Linked DNA regions of Saccharomyces cerevisiae S288C. Changing the gene in region 2 together with the main gene of any one other region gives a genetic interaction. Each region holds a gene or a part of one and is shown on either strand. Other genes may lie near its edges.

Region 1 (7,392 bases), on a different chromosome or scaffold from region 2:
ATGTGGACAAGAAATCGTTCATTAAATGGAAACAACAGAGTATCCATGAACAGCGATTCAAAAGGAACCAAGATATCAAAAATTTGGAGACACAAGTGGATATGTATTCTCATTTGAACAAACGAGTGGACAGAATTTTGAGTAATTTACCTGAAAGTTCTCTTACTGATTTGCCAGCCGTTACCAAATTCTTGAATGCAAATTTTGATAAGATGGAGAAAAGTAAAGGGGAAAATGTTGATCCTGAGATTGCAACATACAATGAAATGGTTGAAGATCTTTTTGAACAATTAGCAAAAGATTTAGACAAAGAGGGCAAAGACTCGAAGAGCCCATCTCTCATAAGGGATGCTATTTTGAAACATAGGGCTAAGATCGATTCAGTAACTGTAGAGGCTAAGAAGAAATTAGATGAATTATACAAGGAGAAAAATGCACACATTTCATCTGAAGACATTCATACAGGCTTTGATAGTAGCTTTATGAACAAGCAAAAGGGGGGGGCTAAGCCACTGGAAGCAACTCCTTCAGAAGCTCTTTCGAGCGCTGCAGAGTCTAATATTCTTAATAAACTAGCAAAATCATCAGTTCCGCAAACTTTCATCGATTTTAAAGATGATCCTATGAAACTGGCCAAGGAAACTGAAGAATTCGGTAAAATATCCATTAATGAGTACTCAAAATCTCAGAAATTCTTACTGGAGCACTTACCTATTATTTCAGAACAACAAAAGGACGCCTTAATGATGAAGGCCTTTGAGTATCAGTTACATGGTGACGATAAGATGACTTTGCAAGTCATTCATCAATCCGAATTGATGGCCTACATTAAGGAAATCTACGACATGAAGAAAATTCCATATTTAAATCCAATGGAACTATCAAATGTCATTAATATGTTTTTCGAGAAGGTTATCTTCAACAAGGACAAGCCAATGGGTAAAGAGTCTTTTTTGAGATCAGTTCAAGAAAAATTTTTGCACATTCAAAAACGTTCCAAAATTTTACAACAAGAGGAAATGGATGAATCGAATGCTGAAGGAGTAGAGACGATTCAATTGAAATCTCTAGATGATTCTACAGAATTAGAAGTAAACTTGCCAGACTTCAATTCTAAAGATCCAGAAGAGATGAAAAAGGTTAAAGTTTTCAAAACTTTAATACCGGAAAAAATGCAAGAAGCCATAATGACCAAAAATTTGGATAATATTAATAAAGTCTTTGAAGATATACCAATTGAAGAGGCTGAGAAACTTTTGGAAGTGTTTAATGACATTGACATTATTGGAATAAAAGCGATCTTAGAAAACGAGAAAGACTTTCAAAGTTTGAAAGATCAATACGAACAGGACCATGAAGACGCCACTATGGAGAATCTGTCCTTAAACGACCGTGATGGTGGCGGAGATAACCATGAAGAGGTCAAACATACTGCCGACACTGTTGACTAGAAATTTATGTAGCTATTTTACTGGTGCAGCGTGCATCTACTTCCTTTTTTATTGTTATTTTCATTTATACATAATACAAAAAAAAAAAAGAAGAAAATTAATGATCAATAAAGAAAATCGTGAAATTACAGCAGAGGTTTTGTACCTGCTTTCCTACGTTAGTACATAATATCTTATTTTTTATTAGTGCATGTTTTTCTCAGTGTGTGTTTTTGTAATTTGTATATACTACACAAAGAATCGGAAGGGTAAAATGTGAAAAATACTGGGTCTTTTGAAATATATTGAACGGGCTAATATATGAAATGAATATGAAAAGAAGAAAAAAATGTGACAAGAAAAAAGTGGTGACAAAAAAGACAAAATAATTATTCAGAGATGATAAACTTAAAGCAAAACTTGGTAACAAACTTTCATTAAAACAAAATATGTATTCTTTTTTCATTTTCATTTTTTTTTTACTGTTTTTTTGTTATTTCATGGAACTGGTAAAGAATTCTTAAGATTTTAAGCTCATTAATAAAAACGCAGCACTATTGTCTTCCCCATTTCTTGGCTGCTGTTCATGTTTCTGTTGGTCGTGTTGTAGGGGAGGCTCAATATCTCCATTCTGAGAGTTAGTAAAACTTGGATTTGTAGGTTTAGGGCTAACTACGCCATTAGTAGAACTTGCTACGCTGTCTATGTTAGGTGCTAAACTGTTATTTCTCAGAGAAGCTGCACCAATTGATTCCCAGTCTTCTTCGTCTGTATCTGAGTGAGGTTGATGATGAGAATGGGGAACAAGTTGTGGCGACGATTCCCCATTCAGGTGTTGTGAAGCTACTCTATGTTTCTCCTTGTCCGATAATACTATCGGATTTGAACTTACATTCATCTGTTCTTCTAGCTTAGGGGAGGTGGAAACCGACGTAGCTTTAGAGTTAGGGTTTGTAGTGACGATCAAATAGTTTTTGTTTGGGAAAAGTGTCGATCTAATACTTGATTCTTTCGATACAGACAGACGAGAAGCTCTTCTTGAAGTTGGCTCACTTGTCGCAGTAAGTTTCTCTAAATCTATCTTCGCCTGGTTTGAGTTACTGTTGTTATTTGATGGGGTTGTCGTTGAGGTTGTATTGGGGGAAAGGTAGGATGAATCTTGGTGTGTGTTTAGTTTGGAAATGAAAGGTGTATGTGGTTTTATGCTCGAACGGCGTCTATTTCTTAATAGCGGTCTAATCTTTTGTGCTATTATTTCATGCTCAATATTCTCGGGAGTTGAATCGGCGAACACAACTTGAGACCTTCTCCTGCCGAAACTATAGGGATCACCATTTGAAGATTTTCCAAAATTATTACTGCTGTTCCTCGATTTGTTTTGGTAATGTAAATGATGGTCATCTTCATCAAACTCCTCATCCTCATCTTCCGATGCTAGCGCATTTTCATCTATATATACTACGTTTGCTGCTGCAAGTGGAGATTTGCTGCGTTTGATATTAACAGGAATGGTGGTGGAAGCAACAGCGGTAGGCGGGGTGGTGGCTCCATCGATATTCGTGATATTATGCTCAACTTTCATAGGCATTTCAACTTTGCCGCCTGAATTAGAATTTGAATTGTTGCTTTTCCTTCTTTGACTCTCTTGAGAAATCAAGTCTTTCACCTTTGCATTTGCAAAATTGGTCGCTTCCAGCTCCTTATCAAAGTTGGCAGGGTCTACTCTTTTCGCGGACCATTGACCCCATCCAATTTTTTCAAATACCACTGATTTTTCTTTATCACCACTTTCCATAGCACTCATTATAAGTCGTCTTTGCTTGGAAGATGATAAATCTTTAAAACAGGGAATATCTAGGCATAAGGTCTGTGTAATGTGTCTAATGGCCAATGGTCCCATTTCTAGTAATAAAGTGGACAGTTTCCCGGGCGTAACTCTTTGAGCGGCTGCTAACCCAGCGGGTGATGATGTGGAGATAGGTTTGGAAAATATACTAGAGCTTGCCTCGGATTTGACCGATATGGCTTGAGGAGGCGATACCTCCTTTTGGTTTTCTGACATTATTAGTGGTAGTCTGAAATAATGTCTTTTTATTCAAAATTTCAATTTATTAGAAAAGCACAAAGCAGGAGCTTGGCGTTTGTACACCGAATGATTCAGATGATACTATACTCTTTTTCCTTCTTTTCAGCGGAAATTTAGTAACGGTCTTTAATCGTGTTTACAAGTGGTTACAAATTCACGTGCTCCGATTGGAAACTGGTTATTGACACGACTCTTGAAAATCTCAGTTCGCCCTTTTTTGCGATAAATTTAACGTGCTTCTGATCAGGATTGCCAGGCACCGTTTGCAATCAGTGTCTTTTATAATCGATTTGTCTTGGATATGGATGGTATTACCGTACCTGTATCTTTATATTATAGCGTGGATTGCGTGAGATTGTGTGGAGATGAACATGAGAAGGATAAAGACTATCTGAAATAGTTCACTCTTCGGTTACTAAGGTAAGGAAGGCGCCTCTACCCTCTCAGCGCGCACGTGCGGAGTGATCAGCCTACTACCGTAGGGACTTTTGCACGTTATTATGGGAATATCATTGCCAACGCAACCTGATTCCTATACAAGCAGCCAATTCATGCAAATGACTGTAGTATTGTATAGCATGCCAACATTCTTCATCATACTATCCTGAGGTCCTATTTCTACAAAGATCCCACAAAAGGGTTCATAATTTTGGCCGTATTTCAGTTTCTGCCGTGCTTGTTTGAGAATCTGGGGCATTCCAATTTGCTTGACGAAGATCTCAAGCCACTAGCACCAATAAGCAACATTCTCACTCGAGAAGTCGCAGAAAATCTCTGTGACTGCATTTGTTTTAGAGACATTCTCATCATTGGACGGGAATGTTCTGGCGCCACGATAAGAAATTTACGACCGGGAATGTTGCGTACTCTAGTTTTTGTCGATTTTGCTACTCACTCCTGCTGAATTTGCAGTAATGTTTTAAAGATGTGGCTTCGCAACCACCAACATGAACCCTATGGTCGTGTCTTTTGTTTGTTTCTTGTAACAAATCATAGCGAGCAGTTTGAAAATTATTACAAAACCAAAATACGTCTCTAGTAGTGCTACCATAGAATTTATTGGGGCATACGTAAAACAAAGTTTGAATCTTTCTTGTCATACTTCGCCATAAATTACAGACAGTCTCGTCCCCTATGCTTCAAAAGAAATAGGATGCGAGGGGTGGAGGCGCTTGATGGAAGAATAATCCAAGTCCTCAACCTTTTAGGCTAAACAATCTTGGGACTCCCGTACAAATACTGGATATCTCAAATTGCTCAAAAATTGTGCTTTATTGATCCAAAAGTTGCCTGTCCAAAGATACATCTACATTGACATAATGGAAAACATGAAAACATACACCTACGAAGGGCATAATTGTGCAAGATATAAATGCAGCCTATGTTTCCTGCCAGATGGAGCGTATATTTCCGACCGAGTATTACTCAGTTGAACTCATTCAACGTTACACAAGTGAAGTTGATTATAGGATAATGTAGGGGTTTATAATAGCGTAGTCAATCAGGCTTATGAGGAACAAAAATAGTAAAAGCAAGCAAGTATGGCCCTATTTATCTTAAGCGTCAAGCCTTTTATATCCAAGCAAGCACTTGCAAACTTTGTTGTTATCGCTGATGGCGCTCCTCCATAGCGAGTATTGATGCTTGGCATAAACAACAAGCCTGTAAGCCTTGCCTTCTCATTCGCCTTCATTACAAGTAAAAACGCCCTCATCTGCTATTTGTTTCCAATAAATCCGTGAAAACATCGGTATGTTCTAGTGTTTTGATGGAAGCGGTGCTACCTTATTGTTTGCAATATGGATGACTCAGCTTAATGGTTTTGTGATGAACACAGTAAAAAAACGTTGACTCCTACGTGCAGCCGATCGTCCTCCACACTTAAATTCGTTGAGATAAATCGTGTAGTAATACACTCAGTCATTCAGTATCCGTGCTTGTTTCTTTCTTTTCCTATTTGTTCGCAAGTGACTACGTGCGCCCTTAATTGCTTACATATTTTAGGTTAAGATTACATCCTTTCTTATTTCGGCAAAAATGAAGTTAGTATAAAATGCCCATGAATGAGGACCAAAATGGCTAAACTTGATAAGTCTTTCTACATAGTTTACATATTTGTTATTGCTATATGATGTACCTTGTTTATGAATTAAACGAATCTAAAAAGGATCACCGCCACTAAATCAGGATTAATATGAGTAAAAGTATATCAACCTTCTCATTTTTTCTGTGTTCTACAACTAAGCATATTTTAATCTGCTGGACCATTCAACAAAGCCTTAATCAGTAGAAAGGTATAATTCACCAACTCTGCTTAGAAATTGTTTTATAGCATGTCTCAACTCCGTTGGAACGCTCTTATCTAATATTTGAATCACCAGAGCATACATAGCAGGACAGTATAGTCTAAAGTCTTCATCATCAAATTCGTAGTAACCTTGTAATATTTCAACTATCACTGAACGCCAGGCATTGATACTACGTTCCATGGTTCTATCATCCAAAGAAACATAACCCTCTACGACCTGGATGCAAATGGTGATCAGACGAGTTATTAAATCAGCCTTCTTCTCATCATCGTTCAGATACAACTGAAACATAATGTCAAGGAGAACTGCAGCAGCACTCGTTTCTTGTTTCAACAGGTTTGGTATTTTATCAACTACACGAGCCTCTACTAGTCTTGTTCTTAACCCATAATCTTCATTAAAGTCACGAGAAAATTCGTACGATTTCTCCAACAATCTTGTAATTCTAATGGCTTCCTTGTAAGGGATACAGTGGGCAAAATCTTCGTTCTCGAATAATTCGTTGAGCAGCTCTATCATCAAAAGCTGTAAAACACATTTGACAACAATAGAATTCTTGATGTTTATTCTCCTACGTATATCTTCGTTACTTTCGTTTCGTTTCATGTGCTTAGTTTTCTTGGGGATACTTAGACTAGCGGGCTTTGGATTCAATTCGTCCTTTACCGTCGGAACGGAATTGCCATTATTAAGCTTAGTTTGCCCATTGAGTGTTTCAACCATGTCACCACCAACGTCTTCGCTGGATTCTTCTTGATGCGCTCTTTCGACCGTCTCACTGATATTAGAATCGTTCTCCCTTCTGTCGTTGCTATCATCATCTGAGTGTTGGCTGGTATCATTAGTTGTTTGGTGATGAGATACAGATGATTTTCTTCCTTGCTGTAACGGATCATAATCGAACAATTCATTAGCAGTGGTTAAATCAAACAATTTATCGAATACGTCACCTATTTGATTCCAATGGTACTCATTGAATTTAGATACGTTTTGCAATATCAATTGTTGCAGGCAGGATCTCCCAATTCTAGCAATAGTGTCATTTTCTTGACAAATACAGGATACCAGCAGACCCAAAAATCCATCGAGCATTCTGTTCAACGATTCAAAGTAATGCGTAAAAAGGGCAATCAAGTTCCTTAAGGCTTGAATTAACGTGGTCGAAAGCCAAACACTTAAATCATCATGACTATTGAATTGGTTGACTTCCCAATGTTTGGATAATACACCGAAAATAGGAAATAGTAACTTCTTACAAATCTTTTCCCAGAAATCATCATTGAATTTACCACCATATGCCACTAGGGCATCGAACATATAGTTTAATGCACGTGATCTAACTTCTAAGTCTTCAGCTGTCATGATCGTATCATTGAAGCAGAATAACATAGGGAACCACACATCCTGGAATATGTCTTTCCCACGAAGTAAAGCATCGTTATGTTTTCTTTCTTCTTCAGTCTTATTTTCATTGTAAAAACAGATGTCTGCGACGTTCTGAGTCATCTTTCTTAGAGACTCCAAAGCATGTAGAGATAGCTTTTGGAATCTCTTATTTTTGGTGATT
Region 2 (8,760 bases):
GATACGGTTTCTCACGGGTATGCGAATGCTGATGTCTCTTCAAATGCTCCTGCCTGACAAAACCCCTAGTGCATGTGGGACACAAGAACGGTCTTGGCTTATCAGTCTTAATAATTCGAGATTTTTTAGGAATGGGCAGAATACCTTGACCAGCGGGCTTAGCGAAATTAGATTGATTACCGTTCACAAACATACTTGGCTCCGGCACTAATAAAAAATCTTTATCTGCCCTATCTATTCTAGTATCGCCAATGTCTTTTAGCTTCTTCGCCCTAAAGTTTCTTTTTGGTGCAAGAGTCTTCGAGAAAAACGTGTGTTGAGAGAGGCAATGTTTAACGAAGAAAAAAAACTCTATGGAAATCCAAGAAGTCCTTGTTTCTTTGTTTTCGTTTCTAATATATGCAGGGTCAAGCGGGAAAAAGAAAGACAGACGGAAAAGTGCCCAGCAACACGGAACAAAATTGTCCAGATTTATTCGAGCGGCCGCGGTTAGTATGCATAATGCAGGCGCCCCTCGTCCAAATGCGAACGGTTCCATCCGAAACAGGCCATTTCCCAAAAATTATTTCTCTTAATAGAAGTTGCTCGCGTAGTTACCTATTGTCGATGCCGCATACGCAGTTACCTTATCCGTTGCCCTACGGAGAATTTCCGCGATGCAGCACCGTGCGGCGAGATCACAATTTTCCTTGTACACTCTACTCTGCCCCTGGAGTGGTTCACCCCCGTCTGTGCGTATTTTCGTGTATGATGATATAAGGTCGTTACTACCGTTGATTCAAAAACAGTTGCTTCTTCCATATATTGTAGCACGAACAACTATGGCCGGCCGCAAATTGCGACAATTACACCTAACGCAGCATTAAGGTCGCAGGAAATGTTATCTGCCGAGCTGTTTATCTCTGTTTTCCAAGATTTTTTCAACCAGCCCATGAGTCTGCTGTTGGCGGCAACCCAGTTACAGATAATGGTGCATGTGATAAGCTTCGTACCACTATTCGTAGTTTGTTACATCTTGTAAGCCAGTATATATATTTGTTAGATTGTGCCCTAACGTTCCAGTAATTGAAGGGTAACCGAGGTTTCCGTGGAAAAAAACCGTGTATAAGCAAGAGGTTCCGAGCGAAAAAAAAAAGTATAAAAGAAAGCACAGGCAATGAGATTTGTTTTTCGCTTTTCCTTCTTATTTGTTAATTCTATTTTTGAAGTTTCCTTCCGAAAAAAAGTAACTTTGTCCTAAAGTACTAATCCACCGCATTAGACAGTACGAAGATCGAGCTATTTATTTGAACACTCGGTCTTATTCGTGATAAGCGTAATGTGGAGAGATCAATTTCCGGGTCATTTATAAGAACTCGAGTGGATTGCTAGTTGTTTTGATTAGCTGAATGAGACTCGAGTGTCAGAAGATGACTATATTTTTTTTCTTTTTTTTTTTAGTTATGTTTTATTTTTGAACTTGTACTTGCACATGTATCTTATTGTTTCGTGATCTTGTAGATCCGTATGGGTGCAATCAAAGGTTTGAATTGCAGGGCTTTCATCGCGCGGATCTCGTTGTTTGCGTCGTACTCTGTGCTGGTGACTATGGTACATTTTAGCCCGAGTTTATTGCACTCTTGAGAAAACAGTTGGACAGTGGATTCGCTTCTAATTGTCGCGGATAGGAGACACAGTTTGCATCGGTCTAAAGCAAGACATTCGGCCAGACACTCGCATAGATCAGGAAGGATAGTTGGGTCATACGTAACATCTGCCCCCACTACTAAATCTATATCCTCAGGAACTCTATCGCTGCCCCACCATAATCTTTGCAACTTGATGTCTGGTTCGTTCTCACGCACTTCATTGTTCAATTCAAAATTTCTTTTCAGCTGCGTCTCAACGAGATTCGAATCACCATCCGTGACGTACATCTTATTTACGAACTCGTGATACTTTTGTAAAATGACGAGACTCACTATGCCTGTGCCAGCGCCGACCTCAAGAACATTTAATTTTTTCTTGCCATCGTCTTGTCCTTGTACCGGTGCCAACTCTTGTAAGGGCTTATGAATAAGGAAATCACCCATGTATAAGGCAGCTTCCCATGTCCTGAAACCTGTAGTACTGGCCGCACTGATCAAATTCGGTGTTTCCTCAATTTTGATCTTTACGTCCTCGTCAAACCTGTACCTCACGACGTCTTTCATCATCGGGTCTGGCTTGCCTGTGCTTAATAGTTTTATGTACTTCTCATAGAGATAATCATATATCTCTATCTCGTCTTCGCCATCGTTGACAATTGTGAATGCCTTCGCGAAAATCCATTCGTGGTCTAAGAGCATCTTGACTATGGTTTTGCAATAATATGCATTCGTCTTTTGCACAAGTTCCATCTCACAAACAAATCTCGATGCATGCAGGACATCGTTAGATTTGCTTGTTTCCAACTCTTCTAGCAAGTATTTTCCAGGGCACCGCTGATGTAATCTATCGTAGAATAGATCTTCATTCATGTTATCTTTGACGAGGAGGGTCAAGTTTTACTAGCTCGATTTTTCTGCTTTCTTTTCCTTTTTCATTTACTTATACATTCTTCATCATTTTTGCGATGATGTACTAACTGCTAGTATTTATTTCGCTGTTTGTCGTGTCCGGACAATCAGCATTAAAATTTTCTACAGAGTTTTCTAATACATATAAACATTTTGGCTTTATTCCCCTAAAGCTTTCTCAATGGCACGCTGAAAAACATTGCATAAAACGTCGCTATTTTCCAAACCGACGCTCACTCTTACAAGATTTGTTTCGACACCATATTGAGCTACCTCGTCTAATTCCTGGTAGTGGGCAATAATAGCATATGGACACGCCAAAGTGAAATTCGTACCGAGAGAAGGTCCTTTGCACAATTCCAGATTATTGAAAAACTTCTTTGCCTCTTCAATATTGAAAAAAGTTAGTGAAAATAAACCTCCATACCCACCATCTTTTGTAGACATAACGCTGTCATAATTCCGCTTGGTATCCTCTGATGTTAAACTGGGGTAATATATTTTCTTGAACAATTTTCCCACCTGAGGCAATAACACCCTTTTTAACAATATATCAGTGTTTGTATTCACCTTGATTGTACGTTCCACGAAGTCTCTCGAATTTCTTTCCAGGCATAACGCATCTTCGCACCATAGGCAATCTTCATATCCGTCTTCAGTCTTCATAAATTTTCTAGCAAACTCATAAATCTTTCCTCTAGGATTTAGTACTAAGGATCCTGCAATAACGTTCGAGTCGCCGCTGAAGATTTTCGTTAGCGAACTACAAACAATATCGGCATACGGTAATACATCTATATTGACAAAGCCACCCACAGTTTCATCGACCACTATGTAAAATGAATACAAGTCTGATAGCCTTTTCAGTTCTTGTAAATCTCCCATTTTCAACAGTGGGTTCGATGGAGCTTCTATAAATACCGCCAGTATTTGCTCACCAGAATGTAAAATATTTTTCAGAGCGTTCATTGACGTTGAATCTCCCTGTCCCAAGAAATGTGTGTGATTGAACTTCCGAAGAATGCTCAGAGTATCTGTATATGGGAATCCAAACATGACGGTCTTCTTGAACGGAGGTCCATATCCAATCAACTTATCTTGTCTACTAGAAGACCTTGATAAGCGCTTGGCATCGAAGTTTAAAAGCAGCCTGTGGGCAGTGAAAATGGACGCCATTCCACTTGGAAATAAGTAAACATCCGTATTAGGGTTGACATGAAACTTCAAGTCATCGGTAGCTGTGTTTTCAAAAGTACTGTTTGAGCCACTTTCTCCCATAGAAGTAATTGTTTCGGCAGGTATGTCCGAATTCAACTGATCATCATCCAGAGCCTCTCCACTGCCAACATTGAATGGACCGTTGCTCTCGTTATAGTGTTCAAAAGAGAATAGGTCCGATAGACCTTCAGAGTCAATTTTTTCAACAACTTTTGTGGCAATCCTCTTTCGTATTAGATATTTGGCTTTATCAGCAGCAAGAAAATTTAAATTTCTCCCAAATCTCGTTTCTATATATTCTTCGTTCACTCTGTTTTCATCTTCGGTCATAAATTTTTTACCGTTATCCACTGTTTCCATCTTCTTAAGATTATCCTTGACTTGTAATTCATGTAAAATATACTCCGCCATTCTGCTAGATACAATCTCACCAGAATGTTGCCAATACTGCTTCATCACGGGGAATATTTCCTGGTCTACAAACACCACCGTGATTTTACATTCCCTTCTCCAGAGCTTTTCCTCTTGGTTCATAGGTTTAGGTGTACATAGTTGTAAGATGCGTACTTTGGTAGAAAGACCCGTTTTCACTTTGATAAACTCTCTGCACCTATTGGCAACCTTGTAAGAGGGGAAGCAAAGACAAGCTTCATCTTCCATGGAGTACTTAGCGGATAAAATTTCACATAATTTCTTTATTGACTTGTGTATGAAAAATCTTGGATATCCGGTAGTAAGCGAGTTAATTATACTGCTTTCACCCTCTTCATAGCCTACTGTAGCTTCCCATGTGGGCAAACACACGGAAACAGCATGTTTTGTGTTGGGCGGAATAGATTCACCAATGGTTCTAGATATCATTTTTTCTTCTGTTCCTCTTCTCTCTCTTGTTTATGTAGGTCCCGAATCGGCACATGAGCGTCATTCTACTATCGTTATATATATGGGTATATATATATATATATATCCAAAATATATGACTAATTTTTAGACCGAGATATTGTGAAGTGCAGAGGCGCTATCATGATTTTTGTTTTTTACATCCACGCATGAAGATAAGTCATATTTACTAGGTTTGAAGGGTTTTACCTGAACAACACTGGCAATCATTGAAGTTAATTGAGTTCTTAAACCGCAAGATATTTTAATATGAATACTGCTATTTTTAAATAAGACTGTAGCAAAATGTGGGGTTAAACTTTTACAAATTCACTTTGGTTGTAACGCATTTTCTGTGGAAGAGCAATTATTTGGAATTTTCAGTTTCGCCAAACGAAAGAATGAAAGAAATGTGCTTTGCCAAGAAACGAAAGACGACAGAAAAAGGTAGTAAAAGAGGAAAAGGTTAAACATTGAAAAAGGATTCTATGAAGAACTCTGTCGGTATTTCAATTGCAACCATTGTTGCTATCATAGCAGCTATATACTATGTGCCATGGTACGAACACTTTGAGAGAAAGTCACCGGGGGCCGGAGAAATGAGAGATCGGATTGAAAGCATGTTCTTGGAATCGTGGAGAGACTATTCCAAGCATGGCTGGGGATACGATGTGTATGGACCTATTGAGCACACTTCCCATAATATGCCTCGTGGCAACCAGCCGTTAGGCTGGATTATCGTAGATTCAGTGGATACCTTGATGTTAATGTATAACTCCTCCACACTATACAAAAGTGAGTTCGAGGCAGAAATTCAGAGATCGGAGCATTGGATAAACGATGTTTTGGATTTTGATATTGATGCCGAAGTGAATGTTTTTGAAACTACTATTAGAATGCTAGGTGGTTTATTATCCGCATATCATCTATCTGATGTTTTAGAAGTAGGTAATAAGACTGTCTACTTGAACAAAGCAATAGATTTGGGGGATAGGCTTGCTTTGGCGTTCTTATCCACTCAGACCGGAATTCCATACTCAAGTATAAACCTTCATAGTGGCCAAGCGGTTAAGAACCATGCAGATGGGGGGGCATCTTCTACCGCAGAATTCACTACGCTACAAATGGAATTCAAATATCTGGCGTATTTGACAGGAAATCGTACTTATTGGGAGCTGGTGGAGCGTGTTTACGAGCCATTATACAAAAATAACGATCTTCTAAATACCTACGATGGATTGGTTCCAATTTATACATTTCCAGATACTGGGAAGTTTGGTGCTTCGACTATCCGGTTCGGATCAAGAGGTGATTCTTTTTATGAGTATTTACTAAAACAATATTTATTGACGCACGAAACACTTTATTATGATCTGTACAGAAAATCCATGGAAGGTATGAAAAAGCATTTATTAGCACAATCCAAACCCTCTTCTCTGTGGTACATTGGGGAAAGAGAACAAGGTCTACATGGACAACTTTCTCCTAAGATGGACCACCTCGTGTGCTTTATGGGGGGATTGTTAGCATCAGGCTCTACTGAGGGCCTTTCTATTCATGAAGCCCGAAGACGTCCGTTTTTCTCTCTTTCCCTTGAAAGAAAAAGTGACTGGGATTTGGCTAAAGGGATAACTGACACATGTTATCAAATGTACAAGCAGTCTTCCTCGGGGCTTGCGCCTGAAATCGTTGTCTTCAATGATGGAAACATAAAACAGGATGGTTGGTGGCGGTCGTCTGTGGGTGATTTTTTTGTTAAACCACTCGATAGGCACAACCTACAAAGACCAGAAACGGTGGAATCGATTATGTTCATGTATCATTTATCTCATGATCACAAATATCGTGAATGGGGGGCGGAAATCGCAACTAGCTTCTTTGAAAATACCTGTGTTGATTGTAATGACCCAAAATTAAGGCGGTTCACCAGTTTAAGTGATTGTATCACGTTACCTACAAAGAAATCTAACAATATGGAAAGTTTCTGGTTGGCAGAGACTTTAAAGTATTTATATATATTGTTTTTAGACGAGTTTGATTTGACCAAAGTTGTTTTCAACACAGAAGCTCATCCTTTTCCAGTATTAGACGAAGAAATATTAAAATCGCAGTCTCTGACCACAGGTTGGTCGTTGTAGGTTAGTGTGCTATATAGTGGCCAGATTCGCCTTTTAAAATTCACTATGCGGTGTGATGATGTGCTATACCATTTTTTCCATGTTTAGGAAAATGAAAAATTTGCAATGCTTACTTCAGCAAAAAAGTATATTTGAATCAATATTCATTTATATATTTCAGCATAATCAATCATTTTTCGTCTGGATATTTGACACAATTTTGATTTTGACGAAGACATTTTATTCTCGATGGATATTACAGAATTGTTACAGTGCTTTGCCTGTACTTTGGACCATAACGCTGCCGTAAGAACTAATGCAGAAACACATCTTAAAAATGCAAGTAAAGTACCGGGATTCTTAGGCGCATGCCTGGATATCATTGCTGCTGATGAAGTACCAGAAAACATCAAATTATCAGCTTCCTTATATTTCAAGAATAAGATTACATACGGATGGTCTGCTGGTGCAAGACAGGGTTCAAATGAATTATTAGATTCACATGTTGATCCGGATGAAAAACCAGTAGTAAAAGATATGTTAATTAAAACAATGGTCAGTGTGTCCAAGACCTCCCCGCGTTGTATCAGAGTGCTAAAATCTGCCCTTACTGTAATTATTTCAGAAGATTACCCTAGCAAAAAATGGGGCAATTTGTTACCAAATTCCTTAGAATTACTCGCAAATGAAGACATCACAGTAACATATGTCGGACTTCTGTGTCTTGCTGAGATTTTTAGGACCTATAGGTGGAAGAATAATGATGAAAGACAGGACTTAGAAGAGTTGATTTTAAATTATTTCCCTGCTTTATTAAACTATGGCGCAAATGTCCTTTTCCAAGATGGTAAATATATGAATAACGAGCAAATTGGCGAATTGGTAAAATTAATCATTAAAATTTATAAGTTCGTTTCATACCATGACCTACCATTTACATTACAACGCTCAGAATCGTTTACCCCATGGGCATGTTTTTTTGTCAGCATCATTCAGCAGCCATTGCCTCAGGAAGTTTTGGCTATATCAGATATTGAGGTCAGAAGTAAAAATCCATGGGTCAAATGTAAGAAATGGGCTCTTGCAAACCTTTATAGACTTTTCCAGAGATACGCATCAACGTCATTAACAAGGAAGTTTCAGTACGATGAGTTTAAACAGATGTACTGTGAAGAGTTTTTGACTCAGTTTTTGCAAGTCGTCTTCGATCAAATCGAGAAATGGGGAACTGGACAGTTGTGGTTAAGTGACGAATGCTTATACTACATATTGAACTTTGTTGAGCAGTGTGTTGTGCAGAAAACAACTTGGAAACTTGTTGGGCCCCACTACAATGTAATACTTCAACATGTCATTTTCCCACTACTAAAGCCCACTGCAGAGACTTTGGAGGCCTTTGACAATGACCCTCAAGAATATATCAACCGGAATATGGACTTTTGGGATGTCGGCTATTCCCCAGATCTTGCCGCACTGGCTTTGCTAACGACATGCGTGACGAAACGCGGTAAAACGACCTTACAACCGACCTTAGAATTTATGGTCTCAACCTTACAAAGTGCCGTTGGTGATTACAACAATATTATGTTGGATAATGCCTTGCAAATTGAGTCCTGTTTGAGAATATTCTCCAGCATTATTGACCGTTTGATAACTAAAGATTCTCCATTTGCCAGTGAGATGGAAAAGTTTATATTGACATACGTTTTACCTTTTTTTAAGTCTCAGTATGGGTTTCTGCAAAGTCGTGTTTGCGATATTTGTTCGAAGTTGGGTTCTATGGATTTCAAAGACCCGGTAATAACCTCTACTATCTACGAAGGTGTTATGAATTGTCTGAATAACTCTTCTAATTCTTTACCTGTAGAATTGACAGCTGCATTGGCATTGCAAACTTTTATCAGTGATGACCAGTTTAATATGAAGTTATCCGAACACGTTGTTCCTACTATGCAGAAATTACTAAGTTTGTCTAATGATTTTGAATCTGATGTCATTTCAGGCGTTAT

Evidence for each region.
Region 1: mutations in STR2 (region 2) and STB3 together harm fitness more than expected from each alone (negative genetic interaction), as found in Saccharomyces cerevisiae (2 studies listed by BioGRID).

Annotation. Positions count from the first base shown.
Region 1 is NC_001136.10:790,398-797,789, forward strand, and holds STB3 (Stb3p), read right to left. Parts: upstream 3,493-7,392; coding exon 1,951-3,492; downstream 1-1,950. Other genes in the region: Hsp90 co-chaperone CDC37, read left to right, coding at 1-1,451; YDR169C-A (uncharacterized protein), read right to left, coding at 4,177-4,326; Arf family guanine nucleotide exchange factor SEC7, read right to left, coding at 5,796-7,392.
Region 2 is NC_001142.9:662,522-671,281, forward strand, and holds STR2 (cystathionine gamma-synthase), read right to left. Parts: upstream 4,617-8,760; coding exon 2,697-4,616; downstream 1-2,696. Other genes in the region: RSF2 (Rsf2p), read right to left, coding at 1-538; YJR128W (uncharacterized protein), read left to right, coding at 400-759; EFM3 (protein-lysine N-methyltransferase), read right to left, coding at 1,479-2,498; MNS1 (mannosyl-oligosaccharide 1,2-alpha-mannosidase), read left to right, coding at 5,123-6,772; NMD5 (Nmd5p), read left to right, coding at 7,001-8,760. UniProt on the Saccharomyces cerevisiae protein: Catalyzes the formation of L-cystathionine from O-succinyl-L-homoserine (OSHS) and L-cysteine, via a gamma-replacement reaction. In the absence of thiol, catalyzes gamma-elimination to form 2-oxobutanoate, succinate and ammonia.